Linked DNA regions of Arabidopsis thaliana. The protein of the gene in region 2 interacts with the protein of the main gene of each other region in a pairwise test. Each region holds a gene or a part of one and is shown on either strand. Other genes may lie near its edges.

Region 1 (6,449 bases), on a different chromosome or scaffold from region 2:
ATGAATCATGAACCGGATAAACCCAAAAGCCTCCGATCATCCGATGAATCATGAACCAGAAAACGCAAAATCTTCCGATGAACCATTGCATTGAAGACAGGGTAAACAAAATCCGGAATCCTTTGAATTCAAACAAAAGTAGAAAACTTCCGACGACGGAGACTGAGAGAAGATATCGTAACGCCATTAACGAGAGACAAAGGAGGAAGAAGAAGAATCAGAGTTGAATTAGAAGCGAAGGAAACAGGAATCGAAGAAGAGAATGGTGAAAATCAGAGCAATTGCGTATGTAATTTCATCTCTCTCTCTCTCACTTAAGAATTTTCTATCTCTGAGAAGGGTTCCTCAATTTATAGACACATCGTTTGTGTTTGGGATTCAAAGTTTCCTTTTTTCTTAACGGCTCTTTGTTGTTTCCTTTTTCTTTGTTATTTCCTTTTCTAAAACAAATTTTGGATTGTTTCCTTTTTCCACTTAAAAAGCTTAGAGCAATGAGAGTCTCGCACGTGCCCTCATTAGCCAAGATTCGCAAGAAAACAATGGATGATATATTTGGCATTAGCTTTGAAACGTGTAGCGACTGATTGTAGCCAAACCATAGAGCAGCTTGTGTGATTGCAGAAACAGAGCTCGAGGCTACAAATCACAGAGCTCGAGGCTACAAGGTTTAGAGTTTGAGCAATGAAAGGAGAAGAAGCGAGGAAAGACGCTGAATTGCTCAAGAATTATAGGTGAATAAATCACTTTCTGCTTTGAATGGGAAAGAAGCTGGAGCATTTGGTCGCACCATAACTGCGGTTGCAGTGATTGACACGGCGGAGAAAGGTTACGAGATCGGAGAGAAAATGGTCCAAGTGTTCTTGAAGATCGGAAACTTGAAATCTACTGCTTCTGTGAAGAAACTTGATAAAGTCGGAGCTAGACTTATCGAAAGTATGTAATTGAAAGTTTACGGATTTGTTCTATGGATTCTGCAAATGGTAAATGGTAATAAAGAGATTCGTAACTGAAAGTTTGAAACTTTTTTTTCTCCCCACATGAAGAAGACGAAACAGAGAGAGATGATTATTACTGCACAAAGTAAAAAGACAACAACAAATCCACATGAATATTACACAAACTTTTTATCTCAACAAGTCTTTCAGTTTCTCACTCGTTTTTAGCAGCTTCAGCTTGTCTAGCTCCAACAGAAAAGAACTCTGTGATGACTTCAAGTGGCATGCCTTTAGTTTCCGGGACTTTAATGAACACAAAGACCCATGAAATGCAACATACGATTGCGTACATTCCAAACACACCAGCTAGTCCAATGGATTTGAGCAGCACGGGGAGACTGTAAGTGACGATTATGTCACAGATCCAGAAGGTGAGTGCGCAGATGGCGATGCAGATTCCGCGGACTCGAGTTGGAAAAATCTCTGAACAGAGGATGTTTGGAGCAGGACCGAAACCCATCACGAAGAAGCAGAAGTAGAGCACAACGCTTACGGTTGATAAGACCGCGTGCACAATGCTGTTCATGTGAACAAGATTTGAGATTACTAAAACCAATAGAGATGCTATCAGGATTGGTATCGTGGTGAGAAGCAAGGTCCTGCAAATATAAAATAAAAGACATTTCATAACGCATTTTAGCTTGTTTCGTTTATGTGTATTGTAAGAACAAAGGAAATTTAAGTTTTAATCACCTTCGACCAGAAAGATCCATGAGCCTCATTGCAACAGCTATTGCAGGTAACATCACAAAGGTTGTCAATGCACTTATAAGTAAGGATGCTGAGGAAGAACTAATCCCCATGTTCGATAGTAGGATCCCGACACCCGCCTGCTCAAGGATTTGCGGTGTGTAGTAAAGAACTCCGTTGATGCCTGAGAACTGCATTTCCAAGAGGAAGCAGGAAAACATAGAATTAGCATAAACCGCATTATTTCTTCTGTGATTCACTAATTTTGATGTGGCTATCTAGACTACCTGCTGAAGTATTTGAAGTCCAACTCCTACGACTAATGCACGCTTGACTCCAGGATCATGAAGATCATGCCAAATTGACCCTTTAGTTGTTTCGGATGGATGTACCATAGCAGGACCAATTGTATGTTCTTTGAGAAGGTCTTTGGAATAAAGAGCTGGTTGGCTAACCAAAGCAGACGCTTGTACAAAATCTGCCTCACCGGTTCCATCACCACCAGGCAATGAAACAATTGAGCCACGTCGAGATCCTGGGAAACCTTCTTGATGCAAGTATATCCGTTTAAACCCACCTTCTTTCTGTCCCGATTCATCTTCTCTTTCCGTCCATTTCCATGCCACTTGCCATCCACCTCCAATCCCCATACTACCCGCTCCTTCCCCTTGAGCTCCCTGCACTTGACTTCCATGTCTGAAGGTAGAAAGAGTTCCATGAGCAGTGTGAGGCATGTCTTTCTCCATGCTTGTCGTTTGACGTGAGATCAACGGAGAATGAAGATCATCTTCAGAATCATCTCCATGGTCGGATGGATAATCCTCACCTTCTCCAACAAGATTCTCTTCATCCCAATCTTCATGTCTTGGTTGATTCCCTCCAACACTGAACATACTCCCAAAATGTGGGAACAAGGCACTCCTCATGCTTCCAGTGTCCGGCATCTTCTCGTGAACGCTCCCAAACAGTGTGACAAGAGGATCAATCAATGAGCCTTGCCTCCTGCTCATTGTACTTCCATGGCGAGACAAAACACTCATAGTGCTTCCTCCTTTGACTGGCCTAGCAACCCAACTCAGCCCTTCTTCTGCACCATATAACTTAATTTGATCCTTATCCACAGCTATATCATGATCATCAGTAACTTCATCCGCGGGACCAATTATATATTCCTCTATGGTTGTTTCACCTCCAATTCCAAGACCCTCAACCAACAAAGCCATCTCACCTATACATTGCCACATAAGAACATTCAATAGAAAAGATTGGTTTCATTGAAAGAATTAGAGTCAGAACGATTTAAGACTAACCAGACACATCTTCGCGACCACGCAGTCTCTGAAGAACCCGCTTTGCTTCAAGCATTCGACCTTTGCTCACGAGCCACCTTGGGGACTCGGGCAAGAAGAAGACCGTGAGGAAGAAAAAGACAAGGGAAGGGATGAAAAGGACACCAAGCATCAATCTCCAGCTAGGTGATGGCATCAACGACATTCCGAAAACCATACAGTAAGATAAGAACATCCCTCCAGAGCCAGTGAACTGCGGTAGCGTATTCAACAGTCCCCTAATCTCAGGTGGTGCAGTCTCAGATATATAAATAGGAACAAGTGTGACCACAAGACCAACCCCAAATCCATCTAACAACCTTCCTAAGAGCAACACATAAACATTCGGAGACCATAGCATTACTAGAGAACCAACAAAGTAGAGAATTGAGGACAATATTAGCATGGGACGGCGACCAAGCCAATCAGCTACCCCTCCAGAGCATGTTGTAATCAGAGTAGCACCAATAAGTGACATCGCCACAATTAGACCTTCCACTGATGGATTACTCTCCAAATTAAACTCCTTTTTTATGTACAACACAGCTCCTGCAGAGTACCCAAAGAAAACTTAAAATCCATCACACAAGCAAAAGAGATAAGCTAAAAGATCTGTGAATTGTATCCATAAAAATCCTGACTTTATCGATCCTAAATTTCATAAACAGAATTATGGATACAGAAGATAATCAATCACCTGCAATAGTTGCGTTATCCCATCCTTGTAACAAGTTGCCAACAGCAGCAGCAATAGCAACAAGCACAGCTCCACTCATAATTCCGTCTTCTATCTTTTATCAAGAAATCTGAAGAGAATTTCGCAAAAACAGAGTCACTGATCAACGACGATGAGTGAGTGAAACAAAATCCACCTGAAAATTCGAAAATCAGACACAATCACTTGGTGAGCTAAAAGATAAAACAGAGAGAGATAACACCAAAAAGCATGACCTAAGACTATAACAAACCCTTTAGTGACGTAAAAGACACATACCCAAAGGAGTTCTAGAAAAAAAAAACAGAGGTGAAACCTCAGATGTCAAAATCAAAACTTTGAATAAAATTTGACTACTTTTTATCTCTACCAAGTAGAAGAGAAAGTAAGAAAGTACGAGAGAATATGATATACAGAGAGAGAGATGAAAACTAGGGTTAGCAACTTGGAATTGGAGGCAGAAGAAGCCACTATCAGTGAGCCGCTGCTTCAATGGCGTCACTAAGCAATCATAAAGCATTGTTTACCCTTTTGGTTTAAATCAAAAAAAAAGAAAACGAAAGCTAGATTTCGAAGTAACCGTGAGAATATAAAAATGAATACTTTTTTTTTTTGTGCGGAAGGACAGTGAACAGAGAGAGAAGCCTATGGGATTAGTGACACCTGCCGTTTTGCTCCTGTCCTCTCAAACCACGTATGTGTATTGTGTGTGTATGTCTCTCTTCTCTTTCTCGTGTTTGCGTACAGAATTTTTTCAGAGAATTAAGTACATCTTTAAATTTTGTTATCTTTTCGATTTGGGTCCACGAGTTTATTCACGGGCCTATACAATCAAATTAATATCTCGAAATGTTTCTGCTTTTTACCATCTTCGCTTTCATGAAGTAAAGGTAAAAACGGATATTAATTTGGGATTTTGTATGTAAAAAGATGAGTTTAATGTCGGCATAATTGGGGAAAAATATTTGGTGTTTTTTTGTAAATATGAAACAAATATAGGATTGGTTTTTGAAATCTTAGATTCATTGGGACTTATACGAGAAACTAGAGATAAATATCTGAGTTTTCTGAAAACAAAGTTATTGGTAAAGTAAAGTTTAGTTTGTTTACATCCGGAAAGCATCTTCAAATCATTTCAACTTTACATAATTAATCAAGAAAGAAAGAAACAATGCAATAATGGAGAATAATGTCCAAAGTCCAAATACAATGAGACACTTTAACTTTAGTTAATTGTGAGTCGTATTCGTATGTTACAATATAATGAATAGTTTTTTCTTCTTCACTTTACTATTCTTCTTACAGATTAAAAGGGAAGAAAAAGAATGTATAAAAAATCATATTGAGTTTTTTTTTTTTTTAGAACCGAGTACCAAATTCGATATACAGTCTCTAATTCTAAATGAATAACATTAACAAATTTTGATCAACGAAAAACAAACCATGTGACTACGACAACTACTGGTTTTCTGAAAATAAATATCTATCGTCCGTATATCAAAACTTGATATGTATAAAACAAAAGATATATTGTTAAACGTCGTTGTTAAAGTTCGTATATTTGACCGCAAAGATTACCATAAATGTATTTAGAACATAGGAAAAACATCTAATTGGTTAATAAATATTTATGACTCCATATTTCTTAGATATTTTCCGGAAATGAACGTAGTACAAGCGTTATGTTTGGAACTACAGTACACACCACAGAATATAAACACGCAATAGAATCTTTTTTCATAGACTTTGAAAGTTATGGCATGTGAATGCGAATATATAAAGATTCTTGTCCACATCCTCAATTAATCATCATCATTGCTTCTTAAAAATTCCGTAGAATGAGGAGAAACGTACCATTTATGTTTACTGGTAGTAGTGATTACTGATTTAAGATATTATTCTTGGGAAAGAAACATCTAGTAACAACATTTTGAAAAGAAAAAAATCAGAATGATTATTACGGAAAAATGAAAAATTCAATAACGTTATGTTTGTCACCAAACTAATGTTAAAACGAATTCAAACCAAGTTGGAGAGATGTTACAGGACAGTTTTGCTAAAAAAAATCAGCCAGCACATTGATACAAAACCCAAAATATAATTTTGCTTGTGTACGTGGAGGTGTCAAATTTGATTCAGTCTTGTGAAAATGTCAATTTGATAGCGTTTATAATTAAAATTTTCGGTTCTTTTTTTTATCTGGAATTGAAATGTGTAATATGTTATCATTTTAGGCCTTATTGTAAGGTCTAAAGTCTAAAACAATACAATAATACGGCCTTTGGGGTGTCTGAATTTTGTATTTGAACATTGGGCTGGATCAGTGAATAAACAAGGCCCAAAAGTAAAACTTATTAGGGATTATGTGCGGGGCTCCAGAAAGTTGCAATATATGGAAAAGTCAATCTCTTACGTCATAATAGTCAGTGACGCCATAATACTGTTTAAATATTTGGCATATCTTTATCTTAAGAAAAAATCTCAAGAGATTACTATTCTTTCTGATAGGAGATTGAATGAACGGTTGCTTCTTTTACAAGTAGATCACATGTATTTAAATTAGTCTTCTCATACGACGAGAATAAAACCATCGTGCTTAATACTTAAATTTTTTTACAATTAACGGTAACTAGTAAAACCAGAAATGCATTTTGATTTTGTACAAACCAACATTCTAATTTTAGTTTTTTTTTTCAATTACAATTTAAACGATAAACAAAA
Region 2 (4,819 bases):
TGGTTAGTTCCTCAGTATGTTCTCTTTGGTATCACGGATGTTTTCGCAATGGTGGGTCTTCAAGAGTTCTTCTATGACCAAGTCCCGAATGAGCTGAGGAGTGTGGGGTTGGCTCTGTACTTGAGCATATTCGGTATTGGTAACTTTCTCAGCAGTTTCATGATATCAATCATTGAGAAAGCGACAAGCCAATCTGGTCAAGCGAGTTGGTTCGCAAACAACCTGAACCAAGCTCATCTCGATTACTTTTACTGGTTACTCGCTTGTCTCAGCTTCATTGGCTTAGCCTCCTACTTGTATGTTGCAAAGTCTTACGTCTCTAAAAGGCTCGACACCAGTTAAACCCAAAATCTCTCGTTTAAATATCGCAGGTACTCTCTTTCCCTCTCTTGTGTAATTTTTGAATACACAAATCATTACTGTGCAAATGTATACTTTTCATGTCTGGTATATCGTGTTGATCATGTGGCTCTTTTGCCAAATCCATCGCATCTTTCACGTCCCTACCATTACATGGCTCAACACCAGTAAATGTATATTTTTTCATGTTTGGTGTATAGTCTTTTCCTTATCGTGTATATTATCCAGCTGTGTTCCAAGCTAACTTCCAGAGATTTCATCTTAATAAACTAAAATTGTTGAATAAAAAATAGGTTAAAGAGTTTCTAACCACGTTATGAATAACCAAATATGATATGAAAGTAGATACACGTTGACTTTTTTTTTCTTAGACTTGATCTACACGGCGATACACATACAGCCTGGATAATAACAAAAACGCCAAGAACCCAATGGCAGTGAAAGCAGCAAGCAACCAGTAAAAATAATCGACATGGGCTCTGTTCAGGTTAGTATTGAACCAGCTATCGCCGCCATTTTTCCCGGTAGCCCAATTAATCACAGTGATTAGAAAACCGCTCAAGAAGCTCGCAAGACCCATCGCACTCAAAGAAAGTGCAAGACCAATACTCCTTAGCTCCGTGGGGACCTGGTCGTAGAAGAATTCTTGTGTCCCCACTAGTGAGAATACATCGATCATCCCAAGTAGTAAATACTGAGGAACGAACCACCATATGGACATTGGGATGGTTGCGTCCGGTCTATCCACAAGCCCATGTTCTTTAGCCGTCTCGAGCCGTTTCATTTCTACTAACGCTGCAACCACCATATTTAAGCTGGAGAGCACCATTCCAGCTCCTATTCTTTGTAGCATTGTGATCCCTGAAGGCTTTTTGGTAATCAATCTAGCTAACGGAAGGAAAACACGCTCATAAGTTGGAACTGAGATGAAAATCGATAAACCGATGAGTGCTTGAAAAGAAGCCGGAGGGATCTCGAAACCCGGCAAGATTTTTCTGTCCACCGTAACGCCTTGTTTTGTGAAGAAAGTAGCATATTGAGCGTAAGGAATCGTGCTCACTACTGATGTGATCCATATCGGAATAAGCCTAACCAAAGCCATCGCGTCTTCCACGTCCCTACTACTACATGGCTCTACACCTCCTTCTCCTGGTAGCAACGCTTTTGCTAGGAACCTTAGTAAAAATAAAGAAAACTTTATACTCAAGTCACAATAAACCAAAACTCAAAAGATTCAAGACTTGTGAACTTACTCAAGTTGTCCTTTACATTTCTTGTACGAACCAACTTCCAACTGACCTGAATGTGTTAACTTCAGTTTCCGATTCTTGAACGCCACCAAGAAAACTCTACCGATCCTCGCAAAAGCGTTATTCTTCCCCTCGCGATCTCCTCTTGGATATCTATAAGTTTTTCTTCCAAACAAGAAGAGAGCAAGAGCCATGACCATGAACAAACAAGGGATACCAAACCCAAGAGCCCAATTAACATTGTCTTGAACGTAAACCACCACAATAATCGACAAAGTTATTCCCGCGGATAAACTCAAGAACCACCAATTGAAAAACGATCCTCTACTTATTCTCTCCTTTGGATCTCCCACATCAAACTGGTCAGCACCAAAAGCTTGAACACATGGCTTGTGTCCGCCTTGTCCGATCGCCACCAAATACAGAGAACAAAAGAATAATATATTCACCCAAAAAAACGGTTTAGCAGAAGCGTTGCGGTTATGTTGACGTTGCTCCGATAATCCCATTAGGATTAAGATAGAGGATAAGGTCAATAGTCCTAGTCCCTGTAACAAAAATCCCCTCAAATTTTAGTGAAAATTCTAAAATGTTATCAAGATATTGAAGTAAGAGACAAGAACGTTATTACAAGTATGTAGATGAGGGAAGCAACAACAATGGTACGGTAACGACCAAGATAAGCATCTGCAATGAAAGCTCCTAAAACAGGAAGTATCGAGGCGGTTCCTGACCATGTGTTCACGTTCACGGCGGCGGTGGCTGTTGATTGTCCGAGAGGTCCGGTGAGGTAAGTAATTAAGTTGGAACCAATCCCAAAGTAAGCAAATCTTTCTCCAACTTCCACACCTAAAAAACCACACCAAAAAAATAAAATAAAATGTTTAAAAAATAATGGTTTATGAGACAATTTACAAATCACAAAAACTGTTCTTTACCTATAATGTACCAGGCGGATCTCCATCCGCCGGTGGAAGATTTTCCGGCAGGAAGTCCACGGTGGTCAACGGAGTCGCTGACGGAATCTTCTATAAGTGCAGCTTCTTCTTCGGCTATCGCCATTTTCTTGTCGGAGGAAACTGGATTTTAAGCTATATGTATTTATTTATATTTAGTTTTGATATTAAAGCTATATTTGCTGCGTGAATAATGAACACGATAAATAGATTGTGATATGTATATATTCTTTTTATATAGTCTAGTCAGATGAGTGATTGATTATGAGGAGCTGTATTATTTTTATGATTTGTACAGCTGCTATCATAATTTTAAATGGACGTGATTCACGAGCTATATTTTAATCCTCTAATATGATTACATAATCTAAAGTTACAACTAACAACCAATAAACATGCGGTTTCATGTCTATATATCACTGTTTTCGTTATTTTATCTTACAGAAATCAAAAGTCAACTATTAGGGTTTATTAGCTACTAAATTTAAATGACACGATCCATACAAGCTAATTTTCATCTTTTAAATAAGCTAAAAGTTTTTTTTTTAGTAATTGTTTGTTATTAATTCTTAGTGTAATAATCCTTTTTAAATCGTGTTAATTCAGATAATGATTTTAGATTACTATTTTGTGCTATCATGATTTTATTTTATTTTTGTTAAAATTAGTTGCATTATATACCACAATTCCTGTATAATAAAGAAAGTACTATGAGTCGAGAAAGTAATTAAATAGTGTATAACTTAAAATTGTTTATAATTTAACTAACCGTCGTAAGACCCTTTAACTGTTATTCAGTTAAAAACGTCACATTACATGTATAATAAGTATAAACACTTTTATGAATAAACTTAAGGGAAACTAAAAATTGAAAATTTTATTTTGACGTATTATTGTTTAAGTATAAACTAGAAGTGCGTTTTCAGTATGAGCGGGTTCAAAAGAGATGCTATGAGTGTCAACGTTTGACTCATGAGAGAGATGTTTGCCCTGTCCTCATAAAAGCAAGACAAGATGCTGCTTTGGCAAGACGCTCTGGTAAACCAGTGGAGAGACCTAAGAAACCCCCTGTTTTGAAAGAATCAGACCCTTTGTTTGGGGTTTTAAGAGAGGATCAAGTTGGGATTGACAAGTTGACGGGCAGACCGAGAATCGCTGCAGATGTTTTAGAAGGGATGAGACAATATCTTTTGGTCTCTGATGAAACTGAGAAGCTGCTGAGGATTAACAAGGTGAAAAAGTCTGTTGGAGAAGTAGAGAAGGATCCAGTTCTGAGAAAGTCAATGCTGAGTCATGAACCAGCCCCTGTGGTTCATCTGGACTTGTCTAAAGACAAAGGAGTTTTCTTTAGCTATGCTGATGAAGGGATTAACTTGAGGAATGTTGGAAAAGTATTAGCTCAGCCCAATCTGCGTGAAGAGGGTGGGACTTCAAGTTCTTCACATTCGTGGAATTTAAATCAGGCTGGCCCTAATGCCTTTGATGTGGATGCCAATTTTCTTGCTTTGTCTCAGCCTTTTCAGGATAATTCGGCGGTTTTTAAAGCTGGGTTCTTTGAACCTAGCTTATCCGGAATTAAGCCTAAGAAAGCAAAGGCAAGAAAAAGGCCAACTAAGAATCAGAGGAAAGCTAATCCTTTACCGGCTTCAGGTCTTGCTGCATCACAAGAGTTGAAGAAAGGTCTCAGTCATGGTGCTAAAGAGAAACGAAAGGCAGTTGATGAGGGAACTAGCACTGCAAAATCCACAAAACTCAATCCCTTAGAGGTGATCCCAAAGGGGGGATTGCCCACCGCGCAATGAGCATTATCAGCTGGAATTGTCAAGGCTTGGGACGGTCTCAAGACTTGGCTTTCCCTCGTCTTAAGGAATTGCGTAAAAAGTATTTCCCTGAGATGTTGTTTCTGATGGAGACTATGAATAGTAGAGATGTTCTTGTTGATTTGCATACATTTTTAGGTTATGATAGAGTGTATTCTATAGAGCCTGTTGGAAGGTGTGGTGGTTTAGCTATCTTTTGGAAGGAAAGTGTTAAGATCGATATCAAGTTTGCTGATAAGAATTTGATTGATCTTCAAGTGCAGTTTGGTGCGGTGAACTTTTTTCTGTCTTGTGTGTATGGTGACCCCGACTTTAAAAAAAGAAAGATTGTTTGGGAAAGACTAAGCATAATTGGAGTTGGAAGGAGAGAAAGATGGTGTATGGTGGGTGATTTCAATGAAATTCTGCATAATGAGGAAAAGATTGGTGGCCC
Region 3 (5,557 bases), 5.4 Mb from region 2:
TTTCAAATTTTCAGAAAAGATTGTTAAAAAATATAAATGCGTCTGCCGGGAGTCGAACCCGGGTCTATTGCTTGGAAGGCAATTATCCTAACCGTTGGACTACAGACGCTTTTGCATATCGAGCAAATAAACTATATATACATATAAACTTTGGATGTTGAGGTTAAAGTGAGAAAGATTTTAAAATACATATATATAGATATAATCTATATATATATTTTTGCATCCATTTTGTGAAATAAATCCTGGAGTTGAAACTTATTTACAATGGCTGTCACTGGCTTTTAATTATTAGTTTTTTCAGCAATAAATTGATTAACAAACGAAAAACATTCCAAATATATTTCAATCCCATATATCACGCAGATTTTTCCAAAATTTGAACTAGATTTCAGCAACTATTTAAAACAAAAAATGTTTGACAACCCAAAAGACAATTGCAATCCCTTAAAATGAGCAAACGCAACTAAATACATTTCTTATCAATTCACTAAATCTTATTTCTCCAAAATTTGAACTAGATTTCGACAACTATTTAAAACAAAATTTTGTTTGACAAACTAAAACACAATCGCAATCCATAAAATATTTATTTTAATTATAAATTTCAACTAGCGGGGTACCGCGGTTTTTTTTTACAGGACGGGTTTGGCAGAACGGGTTTGGAAGGACGTTACTTAATAACAATTGTAAACTATAAAATAAAAATATTTTATAGATAGAGATAATTTGCAAAATTTTATATATACTAGTTTAAATAAAAAAAATTATCTCCGCGGTGTACCGCGGGTTAAAATCTAGTCTATATATACATTTTTGCAACTATTTTGTGAAATAAATCTTGTAGTTGAGAATTATTTACAATGATTGCCACTGGATTTTAATATTTGTTTTTGATAATTAGAAAAAAAATCTTCGAATTAAATATTTGACATTTAATAAATTTTTTTAAAATCTCTTTACATTAACTACACGATTGGTTACTAAAATAAAACTTTCAAAATATTTAATATCATTTAATTACTACAAAATTATCATTATTGATATTGTTTTTCTTCATGACTATTACAATTCAATTATAATCATCAAACCGCAGAGATATTTGATAACATTTAATTACTACAAAATTACAAAATATTTAGACAATGATTCATAAACATATGATAAAGAAGATCAACATTAATAAAATAAATGAGCTTTTTTTACGGGATGGGTTGGCGGGACGAGTTTGGCAGGACGAGTTTGGCAGGACGAGTTTGGCAGGACGAGTTTGGCAGGACGTTACTTAATAACAATTCTAAACTATAAAATAAAAATATTTTATAGATAGTTACATAGATTGTTACAAATTACAAACTTTTATATATACTAATTTTAAAATATAAATTGTCCCTACGGTATATCGCGGGTGAAAATCTAGTATTATTATTATTAACCGAAAGAAATTTCTTTCAATTTTAAAAATTCTGTCAGTTATAATGAAAATGTAAAACTGTAATAAGGATTTAATATACATATTAACATGTTATATTGATATGTTATTACTATTATCCAATTTGCTTTTTCTATTACTGTTTGTTGGATGTATTGAAAATTTAAGATTGTCTCCAAAATCGATTATTTTGAAATTATATATAAAAAATAAGATTTAAGAGATTTGTTTCCAAAATATTTTGAATTCTCCATTTATTTTCATATTCTATCATATATTTTTTAAAGAAAATAATCAAGATATACACATTTTATAACTTCATAAATCGTTTGACACAGAAGAGAATCGATAAACTATAAATCTGCAATGTTTAATATTATTACGAAATGCTTTTAGGTAAAAGATGATATGATAGCAAGTGTGTTTTTTGGACTTATAAAAGTGAGTAGCACCTAGTGGGGGGAGAGAGAGAGAAAGAGAAACAAAGAGAGCGATAAAGAGATGGGTGGAGAAGAGAGATCAGGAGATGGAGAAAAAAGAGGGGAAGAAGTAGTTGATGCTGGTTCTCTCTTCGTCCTTAAATCCAAAGGTACGTTTTATTAATTATGAAATCTATGAAACTTAACGTATACTATTATAACCCATTTGAAGAAGATATGATGATGATGATGATGGAAACTAGGGACATGGTGGCACTGCGGATTCCACTTGACGACGTCTATAGTGGCGCCTGCGCTACTGAGTCTACCGTACGCCTTCAAGTTCTTAGGATGGGCTGCCGGGATATCTTGTCTGGTCGGAGGAGCAGCCGTTACTTTCTACTCGTACACTCTTCTTTCTCTTACTCTCGAACACCACGCTTCTCTCGGCAACCGTTACCTCCGCTTCCGTGACATGGCTCATCACATCCTCAGTAATTCTTTTTCTTTTTACATTTGCTCTTTCCTATAATCAAAGCTGCGACAAATTTACCTTAAGAGAATTTCATTCAAGATTGAGATGTATAGTTGTACGTAGACATACGTGTCTATATGAACTTCTATACGTAATAATTGACACACGGCCGGTACCACTCCAATAATTTCATCCACGCAATAAAGGAAGGTACATGTCCTACGTAATAATTTGTTTGAACAAAAAAAAAAGTTAATTTTTGTGTGAAAACGCGAGATGGAATACTTATAATCACGTTTGCTATTACGAACAACGGAATTTTATAAGAAACCAAGTAAACATTGGTATGAGCTCAACTTTTGTTCGTGGTTGGTTAATATCACAATATATGTATTGTGTAAACCTATGATTTTTAAAAAAATACTTTTCTATACTGTTTGGTCTTGTTTCGAATTATAAGAAGAAAAAAAACTAATCATATGGAATTCATATTATAGTGAATTTTTTGATATGGCTTGCTTCGGTTCAATTTTGTTGGGATCCGGATCGAAGTGTTGACCATTCCACATTTCCACTCATACCACTGTTAAGTTTCAACTTTTTCATGCGTTAGATAGCTGTCTCTTTCCGTGTCTTGTTTCATTTTTGATGCAGAAATTTGTCTTTCAAAACTAATTTCAATTTTTAAAAATATGTGCGTGTCAGAAGAGTATTCATAAAACGTTGGTGCCGACCAAAATTTAATCTTATATAAGTAAAGTTGGATAGGTTCGATCTGCTTTCAAAAGTAGAATATTCTAAATTTCAGATCCTACATAGGATTCGATCCAAATTAGGATAGTTACGCTTTGACTGTCGACTACCAAGGAAATCCACATGTCAACAAAACTTTTAAGACAAAATTTAACGTATTTATCTATGCAAAAACTACAAAATGATGAGAAAAAATTGATTGAAATTTTTTATCTTACTGGATAATTCTGTTTTAGTAGCTAATATGAAACTAAATCCATTATGCATCGAATCATCGATTTGGATTTTAGTTTTCATTAGAGTACACCGCTAATCTGAAGGATTTATAGGAATTCGATTTAGCCCACTTTTTCGGGACTGTATACAACTTTAATTAGGATAAGGTAAAGTATAATACAGGTTCCGAATGTTTGATTAGTTAAGATCAGTTTGGTTTTCCTCTTAACAATTATTGGGGTGTGTTTGATAAGGTCCGAAATGGGGAAGGTACTACGTTGGACCAATACAAATGGCGGTGTGCTATGGTGTGGTTATTGCCAATGCGCTCTTGGGAGGGCAATGCCTAAAGGCAATGTACTTGGTAGTGCAGCCAAATGGGGAAATGAAACTCTTTGAGTTTGTGATTATTTTTGGATGCTTACTTTTGGTTTTGGCACAATTCCCATCCTTTCACTCTCTACGATACATCAACTCACTGTCTCTCCTCCTCTGCCTCCTCTACAGTGCTTCTGCCGCTGCTGCATCCATCTACATTGGTACTCTTCTTTACTAAACCACTTTACTCTTAATTCTTAAACCTTTTATATTGTTACATTTAAAAGGTGAGTTTTCTGTTAAATATCAGGAAAAGAACCAAATGCACCAGAGAAGGACTATACTATAGTTGGTGATCCAGAAACTAGAGTGTTTGGAATCTTTAATGCTATGGCTATTATTGCTACTACATACGGCAATGGCATTATACCTGAAATTCAGGTTTCATTTTGTTTCCATTCTTTGTTTAGAACACCACTTTAATATTTATTCATCAAAAACAAAAGGGCAGTCACATGATCGACTCAGTTATATATATAGAGTATTTGATATATGAATACTATCTTCTTGCAACGCAGGCAACAATATCGGCACCAGTGAAAGGAAAAATGATGAAAGGGTTGTGTATGTGTTACCTTGTAGTAATAATGACATTTTTCACAGTAGCCATCACAGGATATTGGGCATTCGGTAAAAAAGCCAATGGACTTATCTTCACCAATTTCTTAAATGCCGAGACAAACCATTACTTTGTCCCTACTTGGTTTATTTTTCTCGTCAATCTCTTCACTGTCCTTCAACTTTCGGCCGTTGCTGTGGTAAATACAATTTTTTTTTAACGTTTTTCTTTCACATATATACATTGTTATTATTTTATTTTATTTTCGTCACATATATACATTGTTACTAATTTTGAGTTATGCAGGTATACCTACAACCTATAAACGATATTTTGGAAAGTGTGATCAGCGATCCAACAAAGAAAGAATTCTCTATCCGCAATGTCATCCCTCGACTAGTTGTGCGTTCCCTCTTCGTCGTGATGGCTACAATCGTTGCGGCAATGCTTCCATTTTTTGGAGATGTAAACTCCTTGTTAGGCGCTTTCGGTTTTATACCTCTAGACTTCGTTCTTCCTGTAGTTTTCTTCAACTTTACTTTCAAGCCGTCTAAAAAAAGTTTCATTTTTTGGATCAACACTGTGATCGCCGTGGTTTTTTCGTGTTTAGGGGTGATTGCTATGGTAGCGGCGGTTAGACAGATTATAATAGATGCCAATACGTATAAGTTGTTTGCGGATGTATAAAAGAACATGCAAAGCAAAGTGAGATTGTTATTTCTATATTTAAGAATAAGCCTTTTTTTTTCTTAGAAAAATGTTTATGATTATAAATTTGGAAAATAATATTCAAATTTTGATAACAATATTTTTACATAATTTAAATTAATTAATTTTGAATGAAATAAATACAGATGAAATAAATATCTAGAAAATTGATAAATCACAGTACAGGCCTGGAATATGAGCATTTGAAACCCAACGCAAAACAATTCCTAGAAACGGAAGCCCAAAAGTTGGGGGCTATAATTAAACCGGATTTAAAAAATCGGTTTGATTGGTTACCCACACAAAAATCTGGTTCAGGATTTTAGACTCGTTTTCAATTTCAAGCGTGTTTGGTTCGCCGGCAGAGAGACATAACCAAACAAATAGGGTTTAAGCTCTACTAAAATGGCGACGACGTTGAATCGAATCCTGAAGCATAGATCAGTCTCTGCTCTCAACAAGCATCATCAAGGACTCTTCTCCCTCACTCGATACGAGAATCATGACTCTCTCCCTTCTCAAATGCCAGCTCTTCGATCAACCACCCGTTCTTTCCTCGATTTTTATAAGGTAGGAAATTCTGAGAAATTATCAATTTCGCTTATCGGAGAAACGTT

What was found.
Region 1: the proteins of AT1G22550 (region 2) and TMT2 interact in a protein complementation assay, tested with the Arabidopsis thaliana proteins (one large-scale study listed by BioGRID).
Region 3: the proteins of AT1G22550 (region 2) and AT1G08230 interact in a protein complementation assay, tested with the Arabidopsis thaliana proteins (one large-scale study listed by BioGRID).

The regions. Positions count from the first base shown.
Region 1 is NC_003075.7:16,795,283-16,801,731, forward strand, and holds TMT2 (tonoplast monosaccharide transporter2), read right to left. Parts: upstream 4,530-6,449; 5' UTR 3,790-4,529; coding exon 3,711-3,789; intron 3,563-3,710; coding exon 2,996-3,562; intron 2,914-2,995; coding exon 1,973-2,913; intron 1,877-1,972; coding exon 1,689-1,876; intron 1,595-1,688; coding exon 1,150-1,594; 3' UTR 942-1,149; coding exon of another isoform or gene 732-941; 3' UTR 666-731; coding exon of another isoform or gene 591-665; 3' UTR 501-590; downstream 1-500. Other genes in the region: AT4G35295 (homoserine kinase, putative / HSK), read left to right, coding at 51-101, 591-665, 732-941. UniProt on the Arabidopsis thaliana protein: Sugar proton-coupled antiporter which contributes to vacuolar sugar import (e.g. monosaccharides including glucose, sucrose and fructose), particularly during stress responses (e.g. in response to cold).
Region 2 is NC_003070.9:7,965,881-7,970,699, forward strand, and holds AT1G22550 (Major facilitator superfamily protein), read right to left. Parts: upstream 2,813-4,819; 5' UTR 2,673-2,812; coding exon 2,549-2,672; intron 2,460-2,548; coding exon 2,242-2,459; intron 2,159-2,241; coding exon 1,614-2,158; intron 1,536-1,613; coding exon 728-1,535; 3' UTR 620-727; downstream 1-619. Other genes in the region: AT1G22540 (Major facilitator superfamily protein), read left to right, coding at 1-342.
Region 3 is NC_003070.9:2,583,077-2,588,633, reverse strand, and holds AT1G08230 (Transmembrane amino acid transporter family protein), read left to right. Parts: upstream 1-1,664; 5' UTR 1,665-1,933; coding exon 1,934-2,021; exon of another isoform or gene 2,022-2,114; coding exon 2,115-2,345; exon of another isoform or gene 2,346-3,549; coding exon 3,550-3,834; intron 3,835-3,923; coding exon 3,924-4,054; intron 4,055-4,191; coding exon 4,192-4,431; intron 4,432-4,538; coding exon 4,539-4,919; 3' UTR 4,920-4,990; downstream 4,991-5,557. Other genes in the region: AT1G08220 (ATPase complex subunit), read left to right, coding at 5,346-5,510. UniProt on the Arabidopsis thaliana protein: High affinity gamma-aminobutyric acid (GABA) transporter probably involved in GABA uptake into cells.